Lytechinus pictus: one gene and its partner. The protein of the gene in region 1 interacts with the protein of each later gene in a pairwise test. Links are inferred from orthologs where the notes say so. Each region holds a gene or a part of one and is shown on either strand. Other genes may lie near its edges.

What was found. The genes of interacting proteins can lie anywhere in the genome.
Region 2: the proteins of developmentally-regulated GTP-binding protein 2-like (region 1) and RWD domain-containing protein 1-like interact in binary tests that used the Homo sapiens proteins (3 or more experiments, as listed by UniProt). The link is inferred for Lytechinus pictus from reciprocal best matches to the Homo sapiens genes DRG2 and RWDD1.

What each region holds. Positions count from the first base shown.
Region 1 is NC_087254.1:35,189,899-35,197,625, reverse strand, and holds the start of developmentally-regulated GTP-binding protein 2-like, read left to right. Parts: upstream 1-4,725; 5' UTR 4,726-4,872; coding exon 4,873-4,936; intron 4,937-7,201; coding exon 7,202-7,290; intron 7,291-7,727. UniProt on the Homo sapiens protein: Catalyzes the conversion of GTP to GDP through hydrolysis of the gamma-phosphate bond in GTP. When hydroxylated at C-3 of 'Lys-21' by JMJD7, may bind to RNA and play a role in translation.
Region 2 is NC_087248.1:28,080,682-28,088,308, reverse strand, and holds the start of RWD domain-containing protein 1-like, read left to right. Parts: upstream 1-4,627; 5' UTR 4,628-4,754; coding exon 4,755-4,827; intron 4,828-7,627. UniProt on the Homo sapiens protein: Protects DRG2 from proteolytic degradation.

The sequences.
Region 1 (7,727 bases):
CTGAAATACAACAATTAGTTAACCTCTGCCAGAAGTCATGCCTATTTTTTTTTTTTTTTTTACAATTTGCATGCCTCCCCCACATGGACCTGGCCACAGAGGATTAACTATTGTTACTGGGGGTGCTGTAACAATGCTCAGCACCCCCAGTAACAATAGACTAATCCTCCATGGATAGGTCCCTGCTCCCCCACTCAATGGACGCAGTCGGATGGATTTGAGGGACACCAAGGTGGGGGACTTGCAGTCTATCCTAGTTCATGCCGAACGAGTGGAAAAAGTAATATAAATGTTCGACCTCCAGTTGCTAGAATAAGCGTGACTGTTGCCTAAAACATCCCAAGTTACGAAATTAGCAACCCTATATAACGAGGATTCTAGCCAGTCACTGTTCTCATGGTTCTTGCGTATCTACAGAAGCGGATCTAGAGGGGGGGTTGGGGGGGTTGCAACCCCCCCCCAAAAAAAAACCCGGGGACCATTTTTTAAAATCTTATCTTTTTTTTAAAACTTGTAATGCAAGAAAACGCCATTTTCACACACAGATTTTCAAAAAATGTCCCTACTGTGGGAGGGGGGACACCCCCCTCCCACACCCTCCCCCCTCGCTCGCTCCGCTCGCTTGGACTCGGTCGCTACGCTCCCTCGCATACCACCCCAACCCCCCCCCCTTTATAAAAAGCTGGATCCGCCCCTGATCTATACACAACAAAAAAAGTAAGTAAATTGCTGTAACTTTTGAGCGGAATTATTTCGAGATATATTTCGTAGGTGGTTTTGTACACTCATTAAACAACTCCTGAGGAAAAATGAGATTGATCGGTTGAGTCATGCATGAGTAATTAAAGATTGAATTAAAAATGACAATTTTTGAAAGTCACAAGAGTCGTTTTTTAGATTGTGCAAATACAAAGTTGGGCAAAAGTTGTTTTTAGGTGAATTTTATGGTGTTATGATGTTTAACTATCCATCATTTAGCCACTCTACACACAATTTGATATCGTATGTTCATGGTTGAGTGAGCACAATGTATTGCAGGGGCCGCGGAAGCGGGGGAGGGGGCTGGGTCGGGAGGGCTTCAGCCTCAAGCATGTACAAAAATGTAAAAATTACCATAAGATAATGATTTTTTGCATGGTCAGCCCCCCCCCCCACGTCGAAAACCGTTCCCTGTATTGTGACGTATCATCATAGGGGTTTATGGTAGTATCTCTACAACTTGTTAGATCATGTTAAAATTTGAAAATGTTGGTGGCTCCCCCGATTATAGGCCCCTCCCCCATTTAAAATTCTGGGTCCAGCACTGATTTGTCCATAAATTAAACTGATCATGAGAAATTGTTAGGAAAAGAATACATTTATGCAGTAAAAAGAGTATTCATTCCTAAGTTTTCGAATGTGCTCGCTCAACCATGAAAATGTTTAAAGTTCGGAAAGTGTGTGGTGATAGAAATGGTGGATGATAAAAACAACAGCAATTAAAGTCACATTTGAAACCGAATTTGCCCCCAATATTCACTTTATTACCCTTTAAAATGAGTCTCTGACGTTGAAAATACTAATTTTCCCACTTTGATGCGTGCTCACTCATTCATAAATAAACAGATCGATTTCATTTTTGCACAGAATTCTGCCCATAGGTTGATAAACATTACTGCCAAATGACATTGCTAAAGACAGCCTTGGAAAAAAGTTCCACCATATTGAATAAGGGGTTAATTATTCTTAAAGATATGCACCCATAATGTACACAAGTCTATGAGAGAGGAAGTCAACATTTTAACAAATATGAAATGAGGGTTTGTTGTAATAGGTCCATGGTTTCATGGACGGTTTTTGTTACTTCTGCCAACAGTTATTTCATGAAACTTCGCACATGGCTTCAGAGTAACACTATCCAAAAGGCGCGCACACCAAAATAACCATTCGATATGGCACAGAGTGGGGACAAGGCCTTGAACTTTCTTCTCATTTGCATAATTTTCGAATATTGTGTGCTCACTGATGCATTAAACATCGGGATTTTCATAAAAATCAAATCAAATGAACTATGCAAGGAGGTTTGTGACAGATATCCATAGTTACAAATTGCATTTTTTCCAATAACGTAAAAAAGAGCTAATCACATTCCACATGTTCATTCAAGCGTGAATGTTTAATTAAACGCCTTTGAATCATTGAAGCATGTTAATTGGTCATGAACATTACGAACAAGTTGAGAAAAGATCATTTTCAGTTACCAAAATGAAACAATACTTGTCTATGATATTTGAAAATCGTATTTTTTGTTTTCAATAAATGTTTATTGAACCGTGAAATTATGAATATTGTTGAATATACTCTTCCCAAAAATAACTGTCATCATATTCTATCATTTTTATTGATAGAAATGTGTAAAAAATCCAATTATAGCAAATTTGTACTTGTGTTTATTCAACCGTGAAATTTAGCCAAAAAAGTTGTATTGTCTTTTAGAAAGTACCTTTTACAAGCCTTCTGACTATTTTTCATGATGAGAATGTGGAATTAGTTCCAATAAAATGGAATCAAAGTCATGATATTTAGCTTGTGACTTTTGAAAAGTGACATTTTTGCCTTCTGACGGTGCTCACTGATGCATGACGTAAAATACATCCATAACGTTTACTCAGAGGGTAACTTATAAAATTACCTACACGCTCATGTAAAAATATATTAAAAACTAGCATTGGTTCGGAAATTATTGATGTTTGTTTGAGGGGGGACTTACATTTTTTGTTGTGTATATATAGCTAGCTAGAAAAAAAATATTTGGAGAATAATGATTGTGCAGTAGTAAACTTGCTCATTGATCATGTTGATGAAACTGTTAAAACTTCTGCAAAAAGTTGTGCCCTAATTGTCTCCTCACCACAAGGGATGTGCCTATATAGGGCCTATACAGTGCGTATAAAAAACGGGACAGATTTGAAAAGTCTATACAATTTTTGTTTCAAATTATGATCTCTATATTTTGGTGTTAATAGGTGCTCTGGGGTCTTATCCTTCAAATGTTATTTTTAAAAATAGTTTTGTTCATGCTTGAGCGAACACGGAATGTTTTTGTCTGGGGTTAAAAAGGAGGCTTGCGCCAAAATGGCATCAAATGATAAATATGATGGTCGGACTTCTTGCTAATCAGCAGACTTCCTCTTAACCTTTTCATTATCTTTGCCATAATTTTCGAATTATGCGGTCAAAATTCATTTCCAAGTCTACTTATTTGCTTGAATATTTCTGTTGTTCCTTTTTAAAATGTTATCTTTTAGCTTTGAATATTCCTTCTTTAGGCAAGAACAATTTTTTTTAAACCGAAGTATGGGAGAGCTTTTATTTCCCTTCAAATCCTTTCATTGTGTGCTACAAAAGGTTATGGTGCCTTTGAACTGTGGCATACTGATGGATGGGGGCTCGGGGTGCTCCCCCAAAAAAATTAAAAGAAAATCATGACCAAGAAAAAAAAAGGTGGAAAGAAAAATAACAGAAAACATAGAAAGTGAAATATGATATCATATTCTGAATATTATGTCAAAATCACAAAATTTGATATTTTTTTATGAAAAAGTGGAAATTTTTGCTTGCTCGCTTCGATCTGCCATATCTTGTTCCTTCAAAATTGACTCAATACACCATTGCCATTGAAAGACATGAATCCTTTCCTGTTTGTCCTGTCAAGCACATAATTAAACTTTTTGAAGGATTCAATAACCCCTTGAAAATAGGATTCATGTCTTTTATACGTACCATAACATAATTTGTTTCACATAATAAAAGGATTTGAATAATTACAAATTCTCCCAATTAATAATGCAAATCTCCCTACTTGGGTTGACAAAGAGTCTTCTTTTCTTACTTATGAAGGAAAATTCAAAGGTAAAAGAAGTTTAAATGAAAAACAAAATAATTCAGGTAAATAAATAAATTTGTAAATGAAATTTGACAGCATAATTCGAAAATTATGGCAAAGATAATGAAAAGATTAAGAGAAAGTCTGCTTATTAGCCAAGAGTCTAATCATCAAATTTCTCATTTCTGCCATTTTGGCGCCATTTTTGAACCCCCGACAAAAACGTCCCGTGTTCGTTCAAGCATGAACAACATTTATTTTTTTAAATGGCATTTCAAAGATAAGATCTCAGAGCATCTATTAACATCAAAATATAGATATAATATTTTGAAACAAATTTTTATAGACTTTTCAAAACTGTCCCGTTTTTTAAAATACGCACTGTATAGGATTGAAGTTTTTATTAAACAAGGTCGAGGTCATGCATGATACCGTCCTCTGCACAAGTCGACTTCCATAGGTCGAGTCGACGAATTCCCCGAACGCGATCTTCTAAGTCGAACAGATATTCATGGTCCCAAGAGATTCGACTTAGGCAGAGTCTCGTATAATTAGGCCTACATTACTTTTGATTTTTTTTTTTTTTTTTTTTTTTTTTTAGTTTTTAATTTTTAATGAATATTTCATGGGAAACAATAAAGTGTCTCGCCGCTCGCGGTACGTGGGTCGTAGTTTCAGAACGGGGTGTAAGCACTGAGCTGAAAACAACGCATTTCCAGTTCAGTGGGTTTGGTTTGGTTTAAGGTTTACAGTGCCGTGTTGGGAATCGCACCCCGGACTTTCATGTGTACCGGGCATGTGTGGCGGGTGCTCAGACCACTCGCCCACATCGGCAACCCAATTCAGTGTGAGCCCTCTGCGGTGAAAAAAGGACATTAGTGCAGCTCTCGAAGATCGTGCATGTCTTTATTGAAATCGAGTTGAAAAATTAGAACATTGTCAGCTTGATTATCTAGGCCTTAACTGTTTTGTTTGTTTCCTGTACTTTTTTAGTTGAATATCAGAAAATGGGGATTCTAGAGAAGATAGCTGAGATAGAGAGGGAAATCGCAAGGACGCAGAAAAATAAAGGTAAGTATGCTCGTGTGGTGGAAGGGCGATCGAGGGACTAATTGTTGGTGCACGGGAGAAGGTCCCGCGGAGTTGCTCTGCGAGGGCCGGCTAAGGAGCTCCGGGCCGGGCGAATGCAACTCCCAATATATTCAGCAATAATATGCGGGATACGTAGACTTGACATCAACACTTGATTGTGGGCGTCAACAACAGACAATGTCTTGAGTTGAGTTAAATTGAAATAAAACTAAACTTTAATTTATTCTGACATAGGCCTAGACACTAGTAAGATAGACACTAATTTTTTTTTTCTTTGCATTTAAAAAAGGACAAGTCCACCCCAACAAACATGACAAAAAATTTGTCCTTATTGTCAAATCTATAAAATATGAAATATTGTATAATTCAAACAATAAAAAACAGAAGAAATAGTGAGTGATGGACATCATCAACCGAGTCACCTAGTTGTGTGTATCACTGTTTTGTGAAAAATAATCAAAACTTTAAAATGTCATAACTTTCTTATAGACATTTTTACATCCGATTTTGATTAAATTTTCAGCACTATGCTAGTTTGATTTTTCTCTATTTATTCAAGGCAGCATTTTCCTGGGGTGGACTTGACCTTTAAGAATGGGTGGGGGATGGGGGGTCACAGACTGAGCAAAGTGGTATACCCAGCCATTTGTTGTGTTTCCAGACGATCAATTTTAGAAAGTTGGAAATTTGGAAAAATTTACAAGCAAAGTTTCATCAACTTTTAGTACAAAATGTTAGGAAATATTATAGAGAACAAAATAGAAGATGATTACAACTATTGAATTCATGTTTTTAGTGTGATCCAAAGACAAAAAAGAAGGCTTCAAAAATATAAAGTGTCCAGATACCCGACCCCCCCCCCCCCCCCCATCCTACCCATGGTCGTCCAAGCATCTAAGAATTGAACGTTAACTGGCTTCATCCCTGGCCCTGACTAATTCTGGGCTTCCATTGGTGTCAATTTCTACTCATAAACTATGTAGATCTATTAAAATGACAATATTTTTTTTTTTGTAAAAGGTACCCTTAATTTTTAAATGGGGCTTTTAGTTTTACATCAAAATAAATGGTGCAAATGTCAAAGAACCTGTTAAAAAGTAAATTTAAAAAAAAATGTTGAATGGGTTTGAAATCTGACCCTTTTTCGACTCCTTAGGGGGACATGCATGGTTACCATATATCAGCCCATGAGTGAGTTCATTGTCACTTTTATAAATTTATCTGCATCCGCAAGGTAAAAAAAGTGGAAACAAGGTGTTTTTTTCAGGGGTAGAATGTAAAAAGTGGCTGAACAATTGTAAAAACCTCCCAGATCATGATGATGTACAATGCAAAAAGGTATGTAATTAATTCACACCGACTGCTGCGAGACTGACTTTTACAAGACCTGTGATCCAAAATCCTCTAAACCACCATGCCCAATAAAAGGTCCAGTTAGAAATGCAATCGATAATCCCTCATCTCAAACCTGAACGCAAATCCCCATTTTGCATACTTGCAATTTCAGCTTACATTTAATCCCATGTCTAGTCTCAGTCCCCCTTGTGTAAAGCCAGACATTGGATTAGGCTCTCAAACCAGGTATGATATGGGAATAGAATATTTGTAATTTGTAAAGGAACCCCTATTTCGGGTGTGGAAATCTTGGACATCTGCACAAAGTCTCTGTTAAATGTGCCCTACAGGCCTGCCATTGAATTATCCTTTTTTTTTTTTTTTTTTTAGGACGACTCTCGTGGATGCTGTCCTCTCAGATGTTCCCGCGAAAGGAATCTAAACTAGATCTTTCTATGTTGAGTCTAGTCGAAAAAGACTTTAGATCCCTCTTTATTTAGTTTAAGGGGCCAAATTCATTTTAATTGAAATATGAATTAAAAGTCGACAATAAGTCACCAGTCCATTCATGTATTTTATCAATGCTGGTGACGTCCTTCCACACAATTTAATTTTTACACAATGAGAGCATGTATACACACGTACATACAAGAAGCTAGAAGAGAGGCGGCAAATTTCATGATAATAATTGAGGCCTCGAATTATATTCCAAAACATTGAAATATCAATTTAGGAATATTTTTCAAACTTGAAAGGAACTCCAGGCAACAATAACATTATCGAATAATTTGAGATACCTGGTGATGTAACATGTAGAATTATTAGTATTATGGACTTTTTCAACATCAATGTCAAGTTGAAATGTACATTCTTTCAATATCGTATTCCTACCCAATCTTTGTATGCTAGCAACGGAATACCATCTGGGTCTGTTGAAAGCCAAGCTTGCCAAGTACAGGTCTCAACTTTTGGAACCTACAGGAAAGAGTGGAGCCAAGGTTAGTCAAACTAATACAGTGATAAAACTATTAAAGCTTACTTTTTGGTGCAATAACAACACTGCTTAATATTCAGTTAGCATAGTGAGATATTTTATAATATAGACAAATTTTATCAATGTACAGTGCACAGGCTGAATTCAAGTCAATATGATCATTAGGGGTGGTCATGGTGTACGTTTAAAAAAAAAAAAATGTCCTTCATGTTTAGAGGGAGAGGGTTTTGAAGTGATGAAATTAGGAGATACCAGAGTACAGGTATCACACTTGTTTTGATTTGCTCTTAATAGAACCTTAGGAAGCACTGGTGTAAATCCTTGCATCACACCTATTGTTCAGGGGGGTGATCTATTTTTCCACCCCCCCCCCCCTTGAATTGCATGATGTTACAGATTTATGCCTAAGTTAGAAAGAGCATCTGTATTATGATTTAGTGT
Region 2 (7,627 bases), on another chromosome or scaffold:
AAGCTACAATGACTTTCACATCCTACCGGGTACCCATTTAGCACCTGGGTCGAGAGTGGCAAAGTGTGGATTAACGCCTTGCCAAAGGACGCCAGACCGCGGTGGGATTCGTACACACGACCCTCTGTTTACAAGGCGAGAGTCAGAACCACTACACCACGGCTCCTCCATGTGTATTTAACTACGATAGGGATTATAAGAATTAACGCGAGCGCGAAGGGCGAGCTGATTTTTTTACTATGCTGACCAGAAAAGGAACCTGTGACCCATGAATAAGATACTCCGATTGAATAATATGCGAGGGCGAAGCGTGAGCTGAAAGTTTGTGACATTTCAACCTGAAAACCGGATATTCTAAGCATTTGTTTAGTATACAGGAACAGAATGGGTAACTTAAACAATAATTGATGAGAGAGCGAAATGTGACTAAAAAATGTGTAATATTCAAAGCTGAAAACTGTACATTCTAAGCATATTTGTAACCATGAACAGGATTTGAGTGTAGAGTGTACCTTAAGCCCCTTTCACAATTGACGTACGACCACTTGCGACCTTTTGGTCGTGCGACAGGCTGCAACAGGCATCAATCGCCAGTCATCTCATAATATCGCACATAGGCTTTCACAGTTGCAACAGCTGTCGTACAACAAAAACAACCAGTAAAACCCGTTGCACGAGTAAGTCGATTATGATCCTATTGTGCTCGTGCGATCACATGCGAGTGTTGCACGAGGGATTGCGAGGGGAACGGTCGCACACAACGGTAGTGCAATGTTGTAAGCCGTTGCGATCGGTCTTGCAACAGTCTTATGGCACATCATATTATCGCACCCAGTCGCAAGACAGGTCTCTGTACATGTAGGTCGCTAGCACATGTGCAAGTGTTGTACGACCTCCAGTCGAGTAAATGCGACTACTTAGTTGTGCCACCTCTCGCACCAAGTCGTGCAACGTTGAACAACACTCCCACGATGATCGCCCGACCGATGGTACGACCCCGGATACGAGCTGATGCGAGTGAATCGGTCGTATTTGATCGCGTTCGGATTTTGAACATGTTCAAAGTTCAGATGTGACCAGTCACGACCACCTCGAGTTCGTGCGACCGTCTACAACGACTGCGAGTGCTCGCAAGTCACCAAGAGATCGATCGTGCAACAGCAGAAAAAAAACTGTTGCAGGCGGTCGTAAACTGGTCGGATGTCAATTGTGAAAGGGGCTGTACGGTCGCATACATGCGAATGCAACGGTAGTGGAATGTTGTAAGCCGTAATTTCGATCGGTCTTGCAACAGTCTTATATTATCGCAACCAGTCGCAAGACTGGTCTCTGTAGGTATCTAGCGCATGTGCAAGTGTTGTACGACCTCCAGTCGACTAAATGCGACTATACGTAGTTGTGTCACCTCTCGCACCAAGTCGTACAACGTTGAACAACACTCACACGATGATCGCCCGACCGATGGTACGACCTGATGCGAGTAAACCAATCGTATTTGATCGCGTTTGGATTTTGAACATGTTCAGATTCAGATGCGACCAGTCACGACCACCTCCGACCACCTCAAATTCGTGCGTTCGTCTACAACCACTGCGAGTGCTCGCAAGACACCAAGAGATCGATCGTGCAACAACAAGAAAAATCTGTTGCAGGCGGTCGTAAACAGGTCGTACGTCAATTGTGAAAGGGGCTTTACTAAACAACAATTGATGCGATCGCGAAGCGCGATCCAATTTTTGTTTTATTTTCTAACTTAATGTATAAGCTTTTACTTAAAAAAAAACGGTATTTCATTTTGAAAAAAAAAAATCTTTCCTGCGGAGGGGGGGGGGGGGGGGGGCAAGTGTCGCCCTTTCCGTCGCCCCTGCGCTGGGCTGATTATTTCCTTTGTTTAGCGAACTTATGTGATTTCTGATCAAACGTAGTTCTTTGAACACACCCACCATGCCCACGTGCACTGTCACCACAGATATACACCCGTCACTCAGTCCAAATACACTATCATGACAGACATGTCACGCACATCGTTCTAATCAGGCCCTTTTATGTAATTTACACACCCACATTTGACACACACCCTTCTACTCATGCACCCTCTCACGTATTTAACACACCCACATGCACCCATCACAAAAACACACATACTTCTTTCTAATCAGGCCCTCACGTAATTACACCCCGCATAAATTCTCATCACAGAAATAACACACACCCTTCCACTCAAGCCCAAGCAGAATGAACACACCCACGTATATTCTCTTCTCAGGCCCTCATGTAATGAACACACCCACACATTCTCTTCACAGACGGAGACACACACCCTTCCACTCGGGCCCAAGTAGAATGAACACACCCACGTATGTTCTCTTCTCAGGCCCTCACATATAATGAACACACCCACACATTCTCTTCACAGATGGAGACATGCACACACCCTTCCACTCGGGCCCAAGTAGAATGAACACACCCACGTATGTTCTCTTCTCAGGTCCTCACATATAATGAACACACCCACACATTCTCTTCACAGACGGAGACACACACCCTTCCACTCACGCCCAAGCAGAATGAACACACCCACGTATATTCTCTTCTCAGGTCCTCACATATAATGAACACACCCATACATTCTCTTCACAGACGGAGACACATACCGGGCCCAAGTAGAATTAACACACCCACGTATGTTCTCTTCTCAGGTCCTCACATATAATGAACACACCCACACATTCTCTTCACAGACGGAGACACACAACAATTCACACACACATATAACCACCCACCCATCCACACACACACAAATGGGGAAATACAATCATCGGATATGCATTACGACAATGGGTGTAGCGTATATCTTGATAACATTATTTTATATCCCAATCAAAGTATCTTTTCTTTCCTTATATCAGGTCGGTGTATATCACATTTCAACTCGCGTTTCGTGCTCATGGTGCTAAAATTTATTGTTTGTTTTATTTAATGAGATAGGCATATGTATTCAGGTCACAAATGCTTTATCATCTTTTCAACTCGATGTATAAACAGAAATCAGCACTGCGCTTCGCGCTCGCATTACGGTTAGAAAATTATGTTAATGGGTGAAAAGGTCCCATTTCGATCAGGTCACAATACCAAGAAATTGTGATACGCACTCGCATTGTTTTCGTAATCATGAATGCAATAAAAGTGCTTAAAATTATCCCCTTTCAGGTATTATTAAGAATTATATCTCATACTTCGCGCGTAAGAATTGCATGGCCTATATTATTTTGTTTGTAAAATAAGGCTAAAAGTACTTACATCAGCCATTAGAGCCATTGTGGACACAAAATGCTAAGTACTGCTGACTTATTTGATCGGCATAATATCTACATGTCTACATATGCACTTTAAATCAATTTTATTAGAGTTTACTTTGATTTTCATTATGTTTCCTGCATTTAATTCAATTTGTTCAAGTCCCCCTTTTCATACGAACTTCACTCAAGAAAAACGCAAAGAGTGAAGCGTGAGCTCATTCGTCTTATTTTGTTATTTATTTATTTATGTTTGTTTCTTTGTTTGTTTTTTGCTTCCTTTTTTATTGATAATTCGGACCTGATAGGGATAACGAGTCAATGTTTATGCACCCTTATTTAGTTATCATGAACATGATGATTGTAACATACTAATTAATATGCAAAGCGCAAGCTATTTCTTTTCTTTCTTTCTTCTGCATATTGGCTTGAAAACGAGACATTTTTAGGCCCGTGCCAAAAAATCCTCATGAATAGGAAACTTAATTATTTATATTTTTTTTTCTTTTCAAGCAGGCAATGCGATGCAAAGCTCGAGTGAAATTATTATTTTGATTGACCTGAAAGTTTTCTTTTGCCAATTTCTTCTTCTCCCTCGTGCCCCTGGATACATCTGCTTAATTCGTTTGTCTATTCTGTATAGTAAATGAAATTTTCTTAAAGGTCAAGTCTACCCCAGGAAAATGCTGACTTGAATAAATAGAAAAAAATCAAACTAACATAGTGCTGAAAATTTCATCAAAATCGGATGTAAAATAAGAAAGTTATGACATTTTAAAGTATCGCTTATTTTTCACAAAACAGTGATATGCACAACTAAGCGTCCCCGTCGATGATGTCCATCACTCACTATTTCTTTTGTTTTTTATTCTTTGAATTATACAATATTTCATTTTTTATAGATTTGACAATAAGGAACAACTTGACTGAACCATATAGTATTAAACAATGCTAATTCCACATGTTCAGGGAGGAATTAATCGTTGTATCACTTGACAATGAGGAGAAAATTAATTATATTTCATATTTCATATAATAAAATACAAAAGAAATAGTGAGTGTACACCGTGGCGTACAAGGAAAAAAATGTTCGCTCGCTCCAAAATTACAAACTGTGAAGTTGATATTTGGGCAATTATTATCAGCCTCCCCCCTATATACGTCCATGCCTACTATCCCCCACCTTGATCATCCTTGTCGCTTGCCCCCCCTGACGAAATATGCCAGGTACGCCACTGCCCCCCCCCCCTCAAACTCAAAGTTCCAACTTTCGAGAGAGAACCAAGCCATAGATTTTTTTTCTTCAGTTTTCTATTTTCATCGTCAACGACACCTTATCATGCTTACACACACATGAGTACGAACCGGATTGTAGAAAATATAAAGAAATATTTTGGAACTCCTTGCTTTACAAGCAGACTTTAGAGTTTATGGTGGTTTCAACGACTAAAAATACAAATGACTGACTACAAGGAGGAGCAAGTCAATGAAATTGAAGCCTTAGAATCAATATATCCAGATGAATTTTCGGGTAAGTTTTCCGCGAGTTGTCAAACTTTTTGTAACGTTCGTTTTTTTTTCATAGTCCCACATATTGCCACGTGTGTGTGTCAGTGTTTTTTGTTTAAACAGAATTTACGTCTGGGGAGACTGGGACCGATCTTTAAAAAATTATGTGGAAAGACGTGACTAGCCAGGAGGCCCCTAGCAGGGTGACCAGTTTCACAAAATGAAATACGGGACGATTAACAAAGCACAATCAAATGCTCCAGCGGATCGACCAAGCAAGGCTGAAGTCTTGAAGAAGGCTCCAAGCCGGATAAACCACTCCTAGTACCAATGAGGTCCAAACATTAACATGTATGGACCTCATAGGCGACAATGCGTTAAAAACAGGTTAGAACTTCTAAACGTACTGTTTCCTGCACCCAAGTATGATATTACTCCCAAAATATGAGTTTTGTCCTCGTTTGTTTATCATTTATTAAAAGATTGCCCATTAAATATATTCCTATTCCTAATTTGAATTTAATAAAATAAAGGAAAACTTACATTTGAGTCATTTTCGATCTTTTTTTGGCAGTCAGTCCGGTCACCGTCGAGTGCGATCAAAGCGGTATGAAGCTGATTTTCAGATCACGTGATACGTGTGGTCATCACCTGATCAATCGACTATCCTTTTTTAAAGACCGCAACAATTATACATTTTATTATAAAATATATATAGAATGAATAATTGCATGATATTATATATATTTCTACAATTAAAAATATTTTGTGATATGAATTTAATATTTGACGTAAAAATCGCTATTTAACAAAATATTTATTAAAAATAAAAAATCAAACAAAATAAAAACGCCTTGGACACAGTGCAAAAAACCTAACAATTTGGCCGCGTTCTTAACAACTATCGTAAGGGGCGCTCTATTTATAAATAAAGTTGCATATGTAGCTGTCTACCGCGACAGGAACAGCCGCAGAATTGAAGCCAGAAGCGTGGGAAATTGCCAGAAAATTCAAGAAAAGAACCGGTGAGTACCGATTTAACAGTACTAATTTATTAAGTAACATTTATTGAATCATTACAAGATTTATTTTTTAGTAAAACAAAGCTTAGTTCTAAGCTAGGGCGGCCCAAATGCGCGTGAGTGGAGTCCCAGTTTATTAGCACGGGTAAGTATTGGGGTGTCGCCTAGAGTGGGATAAACTATAGTCTAGAATATCGACCGAGCGATTATTTTTTAATAATTAAAAAATCAACAAAGTCAGAGAAGGCTGCACAATGTTTAAAAAATCATAAAGAAAAGGAACGAACAACAAGAAAAGGAAGGGAGATTGAACAAAAGAATGAAGGAGAGAAAGAAAAGAGATTAATTGAGAGGAAGAAAGAAAAAAATTAAGGGGAAAATGAAGGAAAAAAGAAAGAAAGAAAGTTAGAATTATAGAAAGAAGGATGAAAGAAAGAATAAAAAAGAAAGAAAAGGGGTTTCTGTCATTCTTTGAAATGAACAAGAAAGAAAGGGAAAATGAATGTGTGAAAGATAAAATAAAAAGGAGAGAAAAGAAAAAGAAAGTAAGAAAAAAGGAGGAAGAAAAAAATACATGAAGGAAAGAAAAATGTTTCCTTCATTCTTTGAAAGAAACAAAGAAAAACAGGAGGGGAGGAAGGAAGGGAAAGAAAAAATAAGGGAAAAAAATTAGAAGGACACACATAAAATAAAGAAAGAAAGGATGAAAGAGTGGGAAGACAGAATGAAGGGAGGAGAGAATCTGAGAATCTGCTCCAATCGATCCTACGCCTAGCTAGTAGCCTGCCACACATAGGCAGGGGCCCGTTTCTCAACACCGTCATAAGTCTAACTTTGACTAAATCGAAGATAGTGAGCTACTTGTCCGCTAACCGTTTCACGAAGCCCTCTTTGCCAAGATCGGGGACAACAACCTGACTAAATATTTATGACACCTCCGAACCTGTCATAACTTCTTTCTTAATGACGTAGTGTAGGGACAGTGATTTTCCGTTTCAAAAAATTGCCTTTTCCGTTTCAGAAAATCTCAAATTCCGTTTCAGCATGTCAGAAAACGGAAATTCCGTTTCCCCATAGACTTTGTACACACGGAAAAGTGACAATTCCGTTTACACATTGAATAGCACTCGCACTGGTCAAAATTTGTATCTGCTACTGTACCAACAACACAATAGAATCCGTTCTAATCGTATCTATCCGGGTGCATAAAATATTTTTACAAACCCATTTAGCATGCATACATCCTCACCTTTCACATTATTAGCATTATTTCACGGTGAAATGATATTTCATCGATAATTTTGGGGGTTTTTGGACATCGTTATCATCAGTCAACGGCTTTTGCCAATCCGCCATCTTGGATTTTAAGACCACGATATTGTGCTGTTACATCTTCAAACGTAGAGGGCAGCAACACACGACCGTGTAGTTGAACGATATGTGTGCATGTGAAGCCCAACCCGGCGCCGGCCGGCCGGGTACGGGTACGGTGTGCGGGGTACAATCGAGTGTGCTGATGTCGAGTACAGTCACGATGTGTGAATTGTCATGATAGTAGCGAAGTGAGATCGTGTTTTCTGGGGGTTTGTGGCCATTTAATATTCTCATTTTGTTGTGATATTGGAATAATTTCTGTTGCTATTCTATGTATTTTGAGGGAAAATACATTTTCCGTGATTTTCCGTTTGAAATGCCACTTTCCGTTTCAAAAGGCCCTTTCCGTGAATTCCGTCCGTTTTCCGCGATCGCGGAAAATCACTGTCCCTAGTAGTGGCATCACGTGGGTAGACTATGACATGC